Rhinolophus ferrumequinum: one gene and its partner. The protein of the gene in region 2 purifies or fractionates together with the protein of the main gene of each other region. This does not show direct contact. Links are inferred from orthologs where the notes say so. Each region holds a gene or a part of one and is shown on either strand. Other genes may lie near its edges.

What was found. The genes of interacting proteins can lie anywhere in the genome.
Region 1: the proteins of STRN (region 2) and SIKE1 purify together in Homo sapiens (affinity purification with mass spectrometry; 4 studies listed by BioGRID and IntAct, with this or other methods). This does not show direct contact. The link is inferred for Rhinolophus ferrumequinum from reciprocal best matches to the Homo sapiens genes STRN and SIKE1.

What each region holds. Positions count from the first base shown.
Region 1 is NC_046305.1:45,449,034-45,456,512, reverse strand, and holds the start of SIKE1 (suppressor of IKBKE 1), read left to right. Parts: upstream 1-3,960; 5' UTR 3,961-4,023; coding exon 4,024-4,182; intron 4,183-4,425; coding exon 4,426-4,531; intron 4,532-5,424; coding exon 5,425-5,567; intron 5,568-6,746; coding exon 6,747-6,860; intron 6,861-7,479.
Region 2 is NC_046296.1:46,311,994-46,320,350, forward strand, and holds the start of STRN (striatin), read left to right. Parts: upstream 1-5,028; 5' UTR 5,029-5,172; coding exon 5,173-5,406; intron 5,407-8,357. UniProt on the Homo sapiens protein: Calmodulin-binding scaffolding protein which is the center of the striatin-interacting phosphatase and kinase (STRIPAK) complexes.

The DNA of each region.
Region 1 (7,479 bases), on a different chromosome or scaffold from region 2:
AATAGGTCTGAGAGTTCAAAACTCACCATGTAGAAAGAAAAAGGAGCAAAATAGGGTATTTAATAAATGCAATATGGGACATATATGTGTGGACAATCACTGAAAGAAGCCATGGGGGTACAAGGGGTCAGGTAAAGTCGAATATCTCTGCCCTTGTCTCTGTTGTGGACCATTGAAACCACCATCTGCTCCCAGAGCCCTGTGTTCTCATACCTCTGAGCAGAGTTTCTCAGGTTCAGGGAAAGGAGTAAGTCTGTTACCTGTCTGTGTGGTGTGGCTACAGCAATGGGCATGGTACTAGAAGAGGTATTTCTAGAAAAATGTCCAAGTGTCTCCCTCCCTAGAGTTCATGTAAGTGTGTAGGAGTCACATTTGGCATTTGGATCATCGGAGGATCACTGGGCTAAGGTGTATACTCTGAGAGAGGCACAAGTAGAACTGCTGATAGGGCCATCTGAGAGCTGAGAATAAAGGGAGGGAGACCCAAAATCACTTCCTGACCCAAAAGAGTAAGAGTGAAATAATAAAGAGGAAATGGAACCGAGAAACAGGAGCCAGACAGAAATTAGGTCAGAATGGAAATAAGTCAGAACAAGCAAAAGAGGTCTTGGGCAGTTTGTGTAATACCCATAAACAGCACTAGAAGTGCCTGAGCTTATCTTATTGGTTTATTGATGGGTGGGATGCAGAAGTATTGGGATGGCTTGAAAGTTACAGGTCCCTTCAATTTCATGTTTCCCCATCTCGAATCCATATTTATATCTATCCTTTTTATTTTCTTTCGAATTAAGGAGAATGAAATGTTTCTTATTCTATTCAAATCCAGATTCTTCAGCCCACCATCCTAATAAATAATCAACAAAGGTCTATTAAATAGCTATTGTGTCCCTTCTCTTCCCTCAAATGTCCCCTACTCTCTTGTATCTGTTTCTTTTTTTTATATAAGATTTTATTGGGGAAGGGGAATAGGACTTTTATTGGGGAACAGTGTGTACTTCCAGGACTTTTTTCCAACACAAGTTTGTTGTCCTTTCAATCTTAGTTGTGGAGGGCGCAGCTCAGCTCCAGGTCCAGTTGCCATTGCTAGTTGCAGGGGGCGCAGCCCACCATCCCTTGCGGGAATCAAGGAATCGAACTGGCAACCTTGTGAGAGGACGCGCTCCAACCAACTGAGCCATCTGGGAGCTCAGGGGCAGCTCAGCTCAAGGTGCCATGTTCAATCTTAATTGCAGGGGGCTCTGCCCACCATCCCTTGCGGGACTCAAGGAATTGAACTGGCAACCTTGTGGTTGAGAGCCCACTGGCCCATGTGGGAATCGAACTAGCAGCCTTCGGAGTTAGAAGCACGGAGCTCTAACCGCCTGAGCCACCGGGCCGGCCCTTGTATCTCTTTCTTGATTGGATCCTTCCTCTATAAAGCCTATAAGCATGCTCAAGACTTGTTCATAAAAACAAAATAAAAAACATAAACAAGAACCCTCTCTTATTTCTGTATCCCCTTTTAACCACTACTAGAATCATTGGATTGGTCAAGGGTTAGAGTTAACTGCTTGCATTTGGCTTAAAAAGAGAGGTGCAAAGAAATTAGGGATGTTAGAAAGACAATGGTTCTGACCGCCAATCATAAGAGCCCAGTCTGGTCAGGGAAAGAAAATTAGACCACAAGAAAAGAGTCTGAAATATATGGTGATGGAAGGAGAACTGACTCTAGGTGGTGAACACACAATGGGATTTATAGATGATGCAATACAGAATTGTACACCTGAAATCTATGCAACTTTACTAACAATTGTCACCCCAATAAACTTTAATTAAAAAAGAAAGAAAAGAGTCTGATAGGTAGGGGGAATATTGATATATTCAGAAATCGGAGAGCTGGATGATGTCAGAGATAGTAGTGGAATAAAGGGTTGCAAGAACTAGACAGGTTGAAACAAAGGCTGTGGTCAAAGAATTAGATGGTAAAGCTTAACATTTCTGATGAGGAACAATTTTTGGTAAATGATCAAGGGTTTGGCCATAGGTAACCGAAAAAAAAAATTGAATGTCTCTAGAACTGAGGGGGCTGAGGAAGGATAGAACATTAGATGAATTGTCCCCATGGACATGAATGTCATCCAAGGTGAGAACCACACATGGATTAATCAAAAAGACTATAAGCCAACTCCTGAAATCTTCTATGAATGAAGGGGAATATTCAAGGTAGAAGGTTAATCATTGGTAGTCAGAAGGAGAGATAGAAGATTCTTCAGCTGGATGATACAAACTTTAAATAATGTGGAGGTTTTACATCGCAAGTAAGAGTAATTGTTTATCAGTGTCACTGGGGAATTAGTATGACCCGTCTTGCTCTGTCTTAATGTGGGTGGTACATAGAAAGATAATTGCCTGCCACTGAAAGGGCAGCAAGGGGTTGTGCTAGAGCTGTGGAGATGACTTGAGGTAGGGAGAAGACCAGCTGGAAGACTGTGGCTTCATCTGGGTGAGTAGCAGTGAAAATACAAAGAAGGAAATATCTCCCAAAGATATAAAAGAGATAGGTTGCTTTGGTAACTGATTAGTGTAAAGAATTCGTAGGAAGAGTAAGGGATGACTTCCAGGATTCTGTTTTGAGCAAATAGGTGTATAAATGTGCTCTTTACTGAAACAGGAGAAGGAACAGGTTTAGAAGCAAAGATAATGCTGTATTTCCAGACACTAAACAGTTCCTGAAAAGAAGGCTCTCCAAAAATATTTACTAAAGTAATGAATGAAAAAGAACAAAGTTTGACGTACAAGCTTGACAAGGTAAACTCATAAACCATTATAACAAGCAGCACAAAAGTCATTGCTCTTCTGGTTAAATTTATCCTCAAGTTATTAATTGAATTAAAATAGAAGATATAGGCAAACAGAAAACAATGACTCCATCTCACACCCATTAAGATGACTATCAAATAACAACAACAACAACAACAAAAAAAAAACTCAGAAAATAGTGTGGAGGAAAAACCGAAAATAGCAAGGATGTAGAGAAATTGGAACCACTAAGCACTGTTGGTGAAAATGTCAAATGGTGCAGCCACTGTGGAAAACATTATGGTCATTCCTCAAAATTTTTAAAATAAGAATTATCATATGACCCAACAATTCCACTTCAGTGTACACACCCAAAAGAATTGAAAGCAGGGACTCAAACAGATATTTGTACGCCCATGTTCGTAACAGCATTATTCACAGTAGCCAAAATGTGGAAGCAACCCAAATATCTATCAATGGATGAATAAACAAAATGTGAGATAGATAGATATATTCAGCCCTAAAAAGATAGGAAATTTTTTTGTGACATGGATGGATGAACCTTGAGGACATTATGCTAAGTGAAATAAGCCAGTCACAAAATGACAAATGTGATTTGTATGTTTCCACTTACATGAGGTACCCAAAGTAGTCACATTCATAGAGACAGAAAGTAGAATAGAGGTTGCCAGGGGTTGAGAGGAGGGCCAAATAGGGAGTTAATGTTTAATGGCTACAGAGTTCCAGTTTTGCAAGATGAAAAGATTTCTGGAGAAAAATAGATGGTGGTGATAGTGGCACATGGTGAATACAGTTAATACTGTCGAGCTGTACATTTAAAAAATGGTTAAGATGATAAATTTTAGGTGTATTTGACCACGATTTTTCAAAAACTAAATGGGGGGAAAAAAGATGACTTAATAAGAATCCACATCTATCAAAAACCAATAGGGAAAGTAGAAACTGGGACCGCCCAGCTAAAACTCCACCACCAGGCTGTGGGAACAGGAAACCAAGGGCGTGGCGAGGGCAGGCCTCAGGCTCTGCCAAGGGCGGGGCCCAGGGAAGCCACTGAGGAAAGGGTCCTTGGAGGAGTAGGATGCCACCGCGCAGGCGCATCTCACGGCTGCCCCGGCGCCTTTTAAGCGTACCCGGAAGTGACGTTATTGCCGCTGAGACAGGTGGGGGAGGAGCCGAGCGGTTCGCTTAGGGGAGCAGCGCTGGAGCTGTGGTCCCGCGGCCGCTATGAGCTGCACCATCGAGAAGATCCTGACAGACGCTAAGACGCTGCTGGAGAGGCTGCGGGAGCACGATGCGGCCGCCGAGTCGCTGGTGGATCAGTCGGCGGCGCTGCACCGGCGGGTAGCGGCTATGCGGGAGGCGGGCACAGCGCTTCCGGACCAGGTCAGGCAGAGGGTAGGGACGGGTCCGTGTTCTCAGGTTCTGGGCACTTGACAGGTGGAAGGCGAGGTCGAGTGGGAACTTGGCCTGGAATGTCTTCTGTCTGGTCTCAGAGGGCGGCGGTGAGAGCTTCCTGCGGGGTCGGGGATGAGAATGCTGCGCCGGAGCCCTGACTCCTGCCTCTTAGGTTCCTGCATCTGCGGCTGTTCTGTTGACGGCGCGCTTCGTCTGTCTCTGTTTGTCCAGTATCAAGAGGATGCATCCGATATAAAGGACATGTCCAAATACAAACCTCACATTCTGCTGTCCCAAGAGAATACACAGATTAGAGACTTGCAGCAGGAAAACAGAGGTTAGTCAGTCCTTTTTGTGGAGTTACTATGATTTTGTTATATCCGGTAATAATTCAAAAGTTCTTGCAAACCTGCCGACCTGTTCACAAACGTGCACACGCTGTATGTACTTCCAGGTCACTACTTTTAATAAGAGCGTTACCCTGTGCTGGCCCGGTAACAATAAAGTTTGTTACATTACTCTTTTCAAGGTTGTCCGACTCATTTTATTTGTAGGCAGCTTATCAAAGAGGTGCTTAGCAGAGTTGAATTGTTGCGTGGCTTTATTTAGGCCTCCCCAGTTGGAGGCTTGCACAACAAAAGAATTAATATCCTCAAGGGATTAAAATTCAATGTTTAAATATTAATTGAAATAAGTACTAAAATTAAGATCGAAGGTATTTTTAATGTTCTTGTGCAAGGTGGGAGAGCTGAATTTTTTACTTTAGGGAATGTATTCTTGGTCTGGATGAGTACGTTATTAATGACTGTGAATAGTCATTTGTATACTCGTTTACAGAGGGTTTCCACATAGGTCATCCCATTGTATTCTTGTATCTTCATTTTGAGTTCAAACAAGCTGGTATTATTACAATGCAGATAAGAAATAGGTTCAAAGAGGTTAAGTGATTTGCTTAAGAGCATTAAGCTAGTAACTCACAGAACTGAACTCAAGCCCATGCCTTCTGATTCTGTATCCCATGTTTCTACCAAACTATGCTGCCTCTGCCTAGAAAGTTTTGTTTCACATAGACCTTAACTGTTGAGTTTTGTGGAGCTGAACACTGATTTACAACTTTGGAGTAACAACAGCTCATGGAGTGCCATACAATTCCAACTGGTAAGAATTTGGCTTGGCTTTGAGAGCTATCTTTCAGGCATCACTGCCAAGTTATTTCATTTTTTGATATAGAGCTATGGGTTTCCTTGGAGGAACACCAGGATGCTTTGGAACTCATCATGAGCAAGTACCGGAAACAGATGTTACAATTAATGGTTGCTAAAAAAGCTGTGGATGCTGAACCAGTCCTGAAAGCTCACCAGTCTCACTCTGCTGTAAGTCACTTTGAGGAGTAAATTCTCAGTGAACTGAAAATTGAAATCTTGGAATTGTTTTCGATTGTGTGCTTGCTTCTGAAGAAAAGTTAGTGTGTTTTCCTTTCGTGTTTATTAGATTCGCTGTTGATTTTGCTATAGCTGTGTCAAGATATGAATAGAAAGAAGGAGGTGAGGGGCTGCTCAAGTCCTTTTATTTGAGTAGGACCAAGGTTCCTCCTTCCCTCACCAAGATCTCTTTCCAAGATGTTGATGAATGCTTAGTTCTTCCACCAAACATAATGCCAGTTAGTGTTGAAGGTGCTGAGTAAATACTTGATGGGTTATTACTGCACATTTCACTACACTGTAAACTCCTTGGCTGTAAGAAGTATGAATTCATCTTTTATCCCTAACATAGTACCTGGCACATAGCAGGCAGTCAGTAAACCTTTATTAAACTGAGCTACCGAGCACACTCTTGTTAAGAGAGAGAAGTATGGTTTAAAAATACATACATGGTATAGTTTCTACACTTTGGTTGTTCATAACTTAATTTGGGAGACCCAGTAATTGTTCTTCTGTCTGTAGAGTGCTTCATAGTTGTCATTGTGTATTCACATGTACTAAATCATTTAATCCTGGCTTAATAGAATGGTGCCTCACTATTTGCTACAGTGGAATTTATGAAAAGTTTTCTTAGGTTCTACTGAAAACATTTTACTGACTTAACAAAAGTCTTAGGGAACAGGGATGTTTTAAATATGTTTATGGCTTTCATCTAGAAGAGAAAAATAAACTTTATTTTCTTTAGACTAGAGGAGAAAACTTGAACCTTGAAGGACACAGAATTTAGCTCATGAAAGACTTTCTAAGAGATAAGTACATAGACAGAATAAGGTACCTTAGAATATGCAGAGCTTGCCAATATTCTAATTTAAGTTAAACAGCCAGTTAAGAGATATTGTCCAACATCCAGTGGGTGGTTAGACTAGAATTGATCTTTTGAAAACAAATTATTTGTGAATACCACAAGATAACTTGATCATGGCTTCACCTCTGAGGACTCAGTGAAACTCCTGTGTAACCTGTAGCATAATTCAATGAACTTTTTAACATCGTATTGCACATGTTCTCATGAACTTCCTATCTGTAGGAAAGATGACTTTTTCACCTTTTTTTGTGTTAATATCTTCCCAGGAAATTGAGAGTCAGATTGACAGAATCTGTGAAATGGGAGAAGTGATGAGGAAAGCAGTTCAGGTGGATGATGACCAATTTTGTAAGATTCAGGAAAAACTAGCCCAATTAGAGGTAAGATTATTGCTGTTTTGAATTCACAATATTTCATGGAGTTTTCATAGAGCCTGGAAGGTATACCATTACTATCTTATCATTGCAATGTATTGATGTTTTCTGTGTGCTCATGATTTAAAATTAAAACTCCTCCTCCATACCCTTTTCAAAAAAGGAAATATAATCAGTGGCAAACAATGAAAATGCCAACTATGTATTGGCTAGAAATTGAAATATTATCAGATCAAGAGGGTAGAGAGAATGGAAGGGACAGATTACATGTGAACTAAAATCCCTCATCTGCCATAAAAGGAAATTCACTAGATAATGTCTAAAATTGATGATCAGGAAATAGCAGTTACAAGGATATTATTTAAAATTATAGAAGTAAATACCAAAGAAATAGATAAAAGTATTAAAAGTGGTTACCTTTGGTGAACAAAGCAAGGAACTACTGTGTATTTTATAAGCCATGTAGTCTTGATTTTTTAAAAGCTATTTTCATGTACCATTTTGATTAAAATAGAAATAATTTACAAAGAAAGACCTGGGGTGTTAGTGTGCCCATAAAATTGTTGAGGAAAAACATTTGAATGCTGCTTATTACAAGATGGTATCATGGGCCCTTTGAGAAATA
Region 2 (8,357 bases):
AGATTTAATTCTTGGACTCCAAAAAAAATTTCCGATAAAGGACTGCCTTTACTTCCCAGCTTGTGATGGGCTGTTTCCCTAACCCAGTCATTACCAGACTTCAAATCTAGAGAATAAGTTTGGAGGCTGAGGACTAACCCCTGAAGGAGGGTAGACAGGAAGGAGAGGTGAGAGAAATTAGGGAGTGGCAGATGGTACAAGAGGTTGATAAACAGTGGGCTATTGCATGTTCCTCTTCCCCAAAGTTCCATTCATCCTAGCAGAAGCTTCTCTCCAGTCAAGTGGTCCACCTTTTTTTTTTTTTCTTGGCAGAATTCTGAAAGCCATCTGGTTCAATTTGAAGCCTTTTCTTTGAGCAGTTAGAGTCAGAGACCTAAAGAACAGGTCATTTTGAACTTTTTTTTTTTTTAATAGCCACTCATATTAATGAAAAAAAAAACAAACAAACTGATGAATTATTTGCCATTTTGTAGAATTATAATCCCCACCCTACAAAGGACACACACATAAGCCAAAAAAATAGCCAGCACTCCAATTATCTAAGTAAGATATTAGCATGCTACAATTTTTCATTTTAAACTGGGTACATCGATATATATAATCAACATTTTGACAGCTGCTCTGTGCTTGGAAAGGAAACCCTGTTTTTGTGTCACAAGGCTTTATTAATTCTAAAATGAAATGATCTGGAAATCAGCAATACCTTGAGGTCTGAGGCTTACTGGTTGGGCATACACATTAATGTTTTAAAAGATTATTTTAATTCTGCTGAATTAAAGTTCTGAATAAGGAATGAGAAAGAAAAAAGAATAATGGTTAAGCCCCTAGTATTTATGAATTTTACATGTGTGATTTCAGTCGTGTGAACTCTATTACAATAATAGCTATCACTTTTCACTGTATATTGTATGTGAGGCCCTATGCTAGGGAATTTACATTTCTTCTCTCATTTAATCTCATAGTGACTTTATAAGGTAAATATTATTCTCATATTAAAAATGAGAGACTTGCAGCAGAAAAAGGTTAAGCCATTTGTCCAAGATGTTCCCATTTGGAAAAGTGTAGAGTGGGGAAGATAATTTAGGTTTAACTAATTATAAATGTCATGTCCTTTCTAGCTATTTTTTCAGAATTTTTTTTTCAAATTTAAAAACATTTTGCTGTAGTGTTTGTGAATGCTCATCGAGAGAGTCTTCTGGGATTCCTGAAATGTTTCATGATCTGGGCGGTGGTTATATGTAAGGATTCATTCAGTTTGTGAACGTTCACTGAGGTGTTCACTTATCACTTGTGAGATTTTCTCTGTTATATGTGATAAAATGTTCTTTAAAAAGTACTTCATGCTGAATACAGAAAATGTGAAAGACATAAGCACAAAGGGGGAAAAATTCACAGGTCTTTTGTGGTTCCATATAAATTTTAGGTTTGTTCTATTTCTATGAAAAATGTCATTGGTATTTTGACAGGGATTACATTGAATCTGTAGATTGCTTTGGGTAATGTGCACATTTTAACAATATTAAGTCTCCAAATCCATGAGCATGGAGTATTTTTCCACTTATTTGTGTCTTCTTCAATTTCTTTCCGTAATATCTTATAGTTTTTGGTATACCACTCTTTCACCTTGGTTAAATTTACCTGTATTTTATTACTTTTGACGCAATTGCAAATGGGATTGTTTTCTTCATTTCTTTCTGATAGTTCATTGTTAGTGTACACAATGATAGTTCATTGCTAGTGTAAACACAACAGATTTTTGTGTATTCATTTTGTATCCTGCAAATTACTGAATTCATTTATTACTTCTAATAGTTTTTTGAAGGAATGTTTATGGTTTTTTGTTTATATCATATCATCTGCAAATAGGGACAGTTGTACTTCTTCCTTTCCAGCTTGGAGGACTTTCAATTCTTTTACTTTCCTAATTGCTCTGGCTAGGACTTCCAATACCATATTGAATAAAAGTGGCAACAATGGATATTCTTCTCTTGTTCCCGATCTTAGAGGAAAAGCTTTCAGCTTCTCACTGTAGGGAATGATGTTCATTGTGGGCTTGTTATATATGGCCTTCGTTATATTGAAGTGTTTCATTTATGCCCACTTTGTTATCATAAATCGATGTTGAATTTTGTCAAATGCTTCTTTTGCATCTATTAAGATGATCATGATTTTTATCCTTCATTTTGTTAATGTTACGTATCACATTGACTGATTTATTGATACTGAACCAGCCTTGCCTCCCTGGAATAAATCCCACTTAATAATGGTGTTTGATCCTTTTTTTTTTTTTTTTTTTAAAGATTTTATTGGGGAAGGAGAACAGGATTTTATTGGGGAACAGTGTGTATTTCCAGGACTTTTTCCAAGTCAAGTTGTTGTCCTTTCAATCTTAGTTGTGCAGGGCACAGCTCAGCTCCAGGTCCAGTTGCCGTTGCTAGTTGCAGGGGGCGCAGCCCACCATCCCTTGTGGGAGTCAAGGAATCGAACCTACAACCTTGTGGTTGAGAGCCCACTGGCCCATGTGGGAATTGAACCGTCAGCCTTCGGCATTAGGAGCACGGAGCTCCAACCGCCTGAGCCACCGGGCCGGCCCCCTGTTTGATCCTTTTAATGTATCGTTTTATTTGCTTTGCTAATAGTTTGTTGAGGATTTTTGCATCTGTGTTCATCAGGGATATTAGCCTAATATTCTTTTCTTGTGGTAACCTTAACTAGTATTGGAATCAGGGTAATGCTGCCCTTATAAAATGAGTTTGGAAAAGTTCCTTCCATTTCTATTTTTTGGAAGAGTTTGAGAATTACTGGTATTAATTCTTCTTTGGATGTTTGGTAGAATTCACCTGTGAAGCCATCTGGTCCTTGACTTTTGTTTGTTGGGAGGCATTTGATTACTGATTCAAGCTCTCTATTAGTTTTTGGTCTATTCAGCTTCTCTGTTTCTTCATGATTCTGTCTTGGTAGGTTGTATGTTTCTAGAAACTTATCCATTTCTTCTAGGTTGTACAATTTGACCTATAATTGTTCATAGTAGTCTCTTGATCCTTTCTATTTCTGTGGTAACAGTTGTAATATCTCCTTTCATTTCTGATTTTATTTGAGTTCTCTTTTTTTTCTTGGTGAGGCTAGCTAAAGGACTTATGGGTTCTTAAACCATTAAATTTAATTATGTTTACTAGTGTTAGGAATTTAAAGGAATCGTCAGATATGTATTCTATTAGAGAAAAACAACTTTTAACATTCAAAACTTCTAAGATTACTTAAATCCTTCAAATAAAAAAAATATACCATTGTTGCATTATTGCTCCCTTGATACTCTGATAGGTCTGATAAGTAAGAGAGAAAGCAGCATGTTAAAGGAAAGATCAATGAACTAGCAGTCAGGAATTCTGGTTTCTAGTTTTGGCTGTGCCACTTGCTCAAAGCCTGATTGTGGACAAGTCTCAACTTCTTTGGACTTCAGTTTCTTCAACTGTAAAATGAGAGGATTGGGCAGTATCTCAAAGGCCACTTACAGCCAAAATAATTTATGACACTGGTGATTTGGCCAGGCTTGGATCAAATTTTTATTACAATAAAGAATGAATAAAGCACAAACATTCAACAAGTGGGAGAACAAAACTTGCCATCTTGATTTGCAACTAGAGCAGATACAATGTGTTTCCTGTTCTTTCCACAAGTAGTCATGGAAAGGGAGGTGGGAAGAGGACAGGGACAGGGGCAGGATATCCTTCCCTGGCATGTCACTCACCAGCCTATATAATTTTTTCATGGCCACTGGGTCTGATATCCCAGAAGTCCATCCCACAAAACTAAAAAATTACAAATAAATTATTTTGGAGAGAGAATGAGTCCTTAATTTTATTTGCTATATTTTTTTTCAAGCGAGTTCCTTGCATTGGGTGAATTTATATAGTGACATAATTTCAGGGACTTCAGGGAAAGATAATATTTACAGAGAAACACCTTCAAGAACTTTAGTGTGCCTTTGGTAGGCTAATACTGTTGCTAGTTTGTAGGTGAACGGTGGACGAAACTGGAAACTGGACAAGTGAAAAGAGAGAAATGCCCGGAGACCTAAAACATTTCTAGGGAGCAGAAAGGGACTTTGTTCTTTCGAGTAGTATAGCTTTAAGTCACTGTGAGATTGATTATATACTTGCCAACCTCCCTTTGATGACAGGAACTGTGTCACTTATCTTTATATCCCTAGCGACAGATATAACCGACAATTAAGTATTTGTTGAATTGACTTGAGCAAAAACTGCGCGGGCATAAGGTAGGGAAAAAGAGACCAGAATAACATCACCTTGGATATCTGAAACTTTTTAAAAGATTTACTGCAAGATTAACTACAAAGGGAAAGGGACTTCAACGGAGCACTTTTTCAGATGAGATGTCAACCAACCAGAACAGGAAAGAGAGGTCATGAGAGTTCCTTGAAAACTGATCAGGCAACAGGTTTGAACCCCCAACTGAAAAAGAGGAGCGACAGCGATACGCAGATTGGCAGAACTGAGGAGTGTCTAGGGTCAGAGAAAAACCAAAGTCAGAGCCCAAGGGAGAGGCTGAAGAAACTCCGTCCACGGGCCGGCCCAGAGAAGCTTGCTTTGAGCTTGTTTCTTAACAGAACTATCAGCAAGCCCTAAAAGATGTGCAGTACGGGCTGATATTTCAGCCTGATAACTTCCGTGTGTGTGTGTGTGTGTTGGCCTAACTTCCGTGTGTGCGTGTGTGTGCCTGTGTGTGCAACAAGGAGCGCCACCCGTGAACTTCCGCGTGCGACGGACCCCGAAGTGTCGCCCTGCCGCGCCCCGTCCTGCCCCACCTGTGAGGAAACCTGCACTCGCGGAGGGGCGGGTCCCCACCGCCGCGGGCAGGGGCGGGGCCGCGGCGCGTCGGAGCCTTCCGCAGCCCCACAGGCCGCCTCAGCCACGCTCGCCGTCGCCCCGCCCCGCGACTACATTTCCCAGCAGGCCGCAGGGCGCCCGCGCGCCGCAGTTGACCCATTTCCCGGCCCGTCCCGGGCTCGGCCGGCCCCCGCGCCCAGGCGGCTGCTCCCTGCTGACTGGGGTGTGGGCGGGGAGCGGCGGAGGGAGGAGGAGGCGCTGCTGGCCGCCGCCGTTGCCTCCGCTGCTGGGCGCCTGGGCAGCACCCCAGGTTTCCGCGGCCGCCATGGACGAGCAAGCGGGTCCCGGAGTCTTCTTCAGCAACAACCATCCGGGCGCCGGCGGTGCCAAGGGTCTCGGGCCTCTGGCGGAGGCTGCAGCGGCCGGCGACGGGGCGGCTGCGGCAGGGGCGGCCCGAGCCCAGTACAGCTTACCCGGGATCCTGCATTTCCTCCAGCATGAGTGGGCCCGCTTCGAGGTGGAGAGAGCCCAGTGGGAGGTGGAGCGGGCGGAGCTGCAGGTAAAGACCCTCCCGGCCTGGCCCTTTTTATCCCGCCTCTTTGCTCTCTTCCGCCCCGCCCCGGACCCTTTCCCCTCCCCCCTCTGCCCTCGCTGGTCCACTCCCCTTTGCTCCTGCCCATCCTACCCAGAACTGTCCCCTTCCCCCTTCACCTTTGCTTTAGGCTGACCCCACTTCCTTGACTCGGGTTCCCATTCCCGCCCTGACGCGTTGTTTACCCTCCCCGCTCCTTTTCTTCTACTCCTTCCTTCTCCTAACTCTCTCATTTCAACTCTTGCCATCCCTCATTTTAGGTCTTCTCTCTGAGTATACTAATTGGGCTGACAGTAGTTTTGAAAGATGTCGAGCAAATCATCCTGTCCCAGTGAGTCCCATCTTAGGTCTAGAGACGTTCCCCGCCGTAGGTATTGGCAGTTGGCTCCTCTCTGAGAGGAAGGTGATCAAAGAAGACATCAGAAGTTGTGTCTGTGAGGCCTTGACTTAGGCAAGAAGCTGACGTAGGGCAGAAGTGTAACTAGGAATATCAGCTCCCTTCTTACATATGTGAGTGTTTTTTCTCTTTCCCTCTCCCTCTCCCTGCTGCCACTTTTCCTTTAGGTATTTCAGATTCGTGGATTTTAAAATGAAGAACCTAGATAATCGCAATCAGATGATGGTTCAGAGATGGTTTCCTGTTCTTAGAATCAAAAACTTCCCAAGGATTAATTTTATGTTCAGTGTTTTGTGAAATTGACGTTCACTTCAAAAGGAACTAAAAGGGGCTTTAAAGTTGGTTACATTTCCTTGTATAATCTGCAAGGTAAAAGTATATCCAGGGAGGACCTATTGTGGGCTCTTAGAAGAATGAAAGTGAGGCTGATACTTTACGGGCCATTCTGAATTGGTAAATAGGTTTCAGTGGCTGTTCTTACAACTTCCAAGCCATGCACCAATTTCACAGGGAACCTAACTATGCGTAGCTGTGCCTTTCTGTTTTACTGGCTAATCCTGTATGCTGATGAAATCTGAATATACGTTGTTTTGGTTGGTGAAACACTTGTAGTTAAAATGCTACCCAGTGTTTGTTACTCTTTTTTTGGTAACATGTATTTTCCTTGGCACTTAAAAAAATGAAAAGGAGAAATCTGTTAAATAGAATCTGCTGGAACAGGATGCTTTGATACAGTGCAAGTGGCAATGGAAAGAGCAAGGGGACAGGTTATAGTAGACAGGGTTATAGTATGGACTGTGCTTGCTGCTAGCTCTGTGACCTTGAGGAAATCCTTTAACCTCTCTGAACTTCAGTTTCTTCATTCAGTTGCCATAGTGGCAACTGCTTTGAGAAAGATAATTCAGGATACAGGAATAAAGTGTGATAGGGGCAGCTATTTTAGAGGGGGTGGTCAGGGAAGGCCTCTGGGAGGAGTGGAAGGAAGTGAAGAAGTGACCCACAATTTCTAAGATTCCTTCTGATTCCTTTAGTTCTGCAGTTGTATGTTTATATTTGGTGGCTTTTTCATCCCTACTATTATGTTGCTTTTGTATCTGGTCTTTTGATAATTTGTAATTTTTCTTGTAGTGAATCTGACCGTGTCAGTATAGTAACCAGCAGACTTAAATGCTTCATTCAAATATTGGTAATTCACCTTTGTTAGAAGTGCATTCCATAAATGAACTTGTGGATTTCAGACTTAAAGGAAGTGTTAAAGGCAGGTGTTAATTTTAACATTGTTCAGTTGTTGAACACACACACACCACTTACGGGGTTATTTATGGCAAATGTTAAACTTAAGGTAGGTTTCCCATTGGTACTCATCATATTAAGGACACTACATTTCTACAGTATTTTTTGGTTTTGGGTTTGTGCTCAAATTAAGCATCCACAGAGGAACTTTAAAAAATACATCCTATTTTCCAAACAGAGCAAGTATTATGTCTTTTAGAGGGGGAGAGAGTTTGCAGAAATCTATGGTTTTGATCCCCGTATTAGCATTATTGAAACTATATTTTAAAAATAATTTCTTTACATTGACATCGTTAAATTTGAACATATTCCTTCATTTTTCTTTTGCGATTGGAATTTTCCTGGAAAAACAATAGGAAGTAAGAGTTGAATGAGTGATGATGAAATTTGGATCAGTTGGTGTCCTTTTTTTAAATTTAAAATCTCTTCTCAAGTCATTAACATCAAAGTCAACAAAAATACCTTTAAGATTAAGTCTAATGTGTCCCTTCAGGAACCTGTCAGTCCTGCTTTTTCAGGTTGCCAGGTCAGAATTGTGAAAGACAATCCACGCTCTCAGCTATCTACCTGGTCTGCCTTCATCACTTCCTCCTTCAGATCTTGGGAATAAGGAACTGGCCACATTATACCAAAACTTATTTGTCATTTCTTCCCCTTTGCCCATCTTAGTTAATAAGACTCTCTTTTTACTTTTCATAATCCCCCTCCTCCCTAACCACCACCATTGCAGGTGAGAGTAGGTGGTCAAAGAATGGTCAAGATTATTGCTGAGGTTTATATTTGTGAAAAAACTTGGAGATGGGATACATAAAATTCGAGAGAATTTTCTGTGTGTGCTACAATGGGCTAGATGACCTCAAAGAAACATGCAGTCTAGTTGGAGTGATAGAACAAACAAAATGCATAAGAATCGGAGTATTTATTATTTGGGGGGTTTAAATTTTCTTAGACTAGCACAAGAGAGCAGCTAGCAGTGAGTGGGGAGAATAGCAGAAAGAAAGAACTTTATGAGACCCTAAGTTTCTCTGTATTTGAAAATTACTGACTTAAGGGAAAGCAAGCATGTAAATAAAAGATAAAAATTATTGGCCCTAGATTTTGGGGGGTGTGTGTGTGTAAGTAATAGGGGAGGCTCTGTTATTTACCTGGAAATGCTAGTACTGTGAAAAAGGTGTCAGGATTGAGTAGCTCAGGGCATGTGGTGTGGCGGCTGGTACTAGAATGTTTA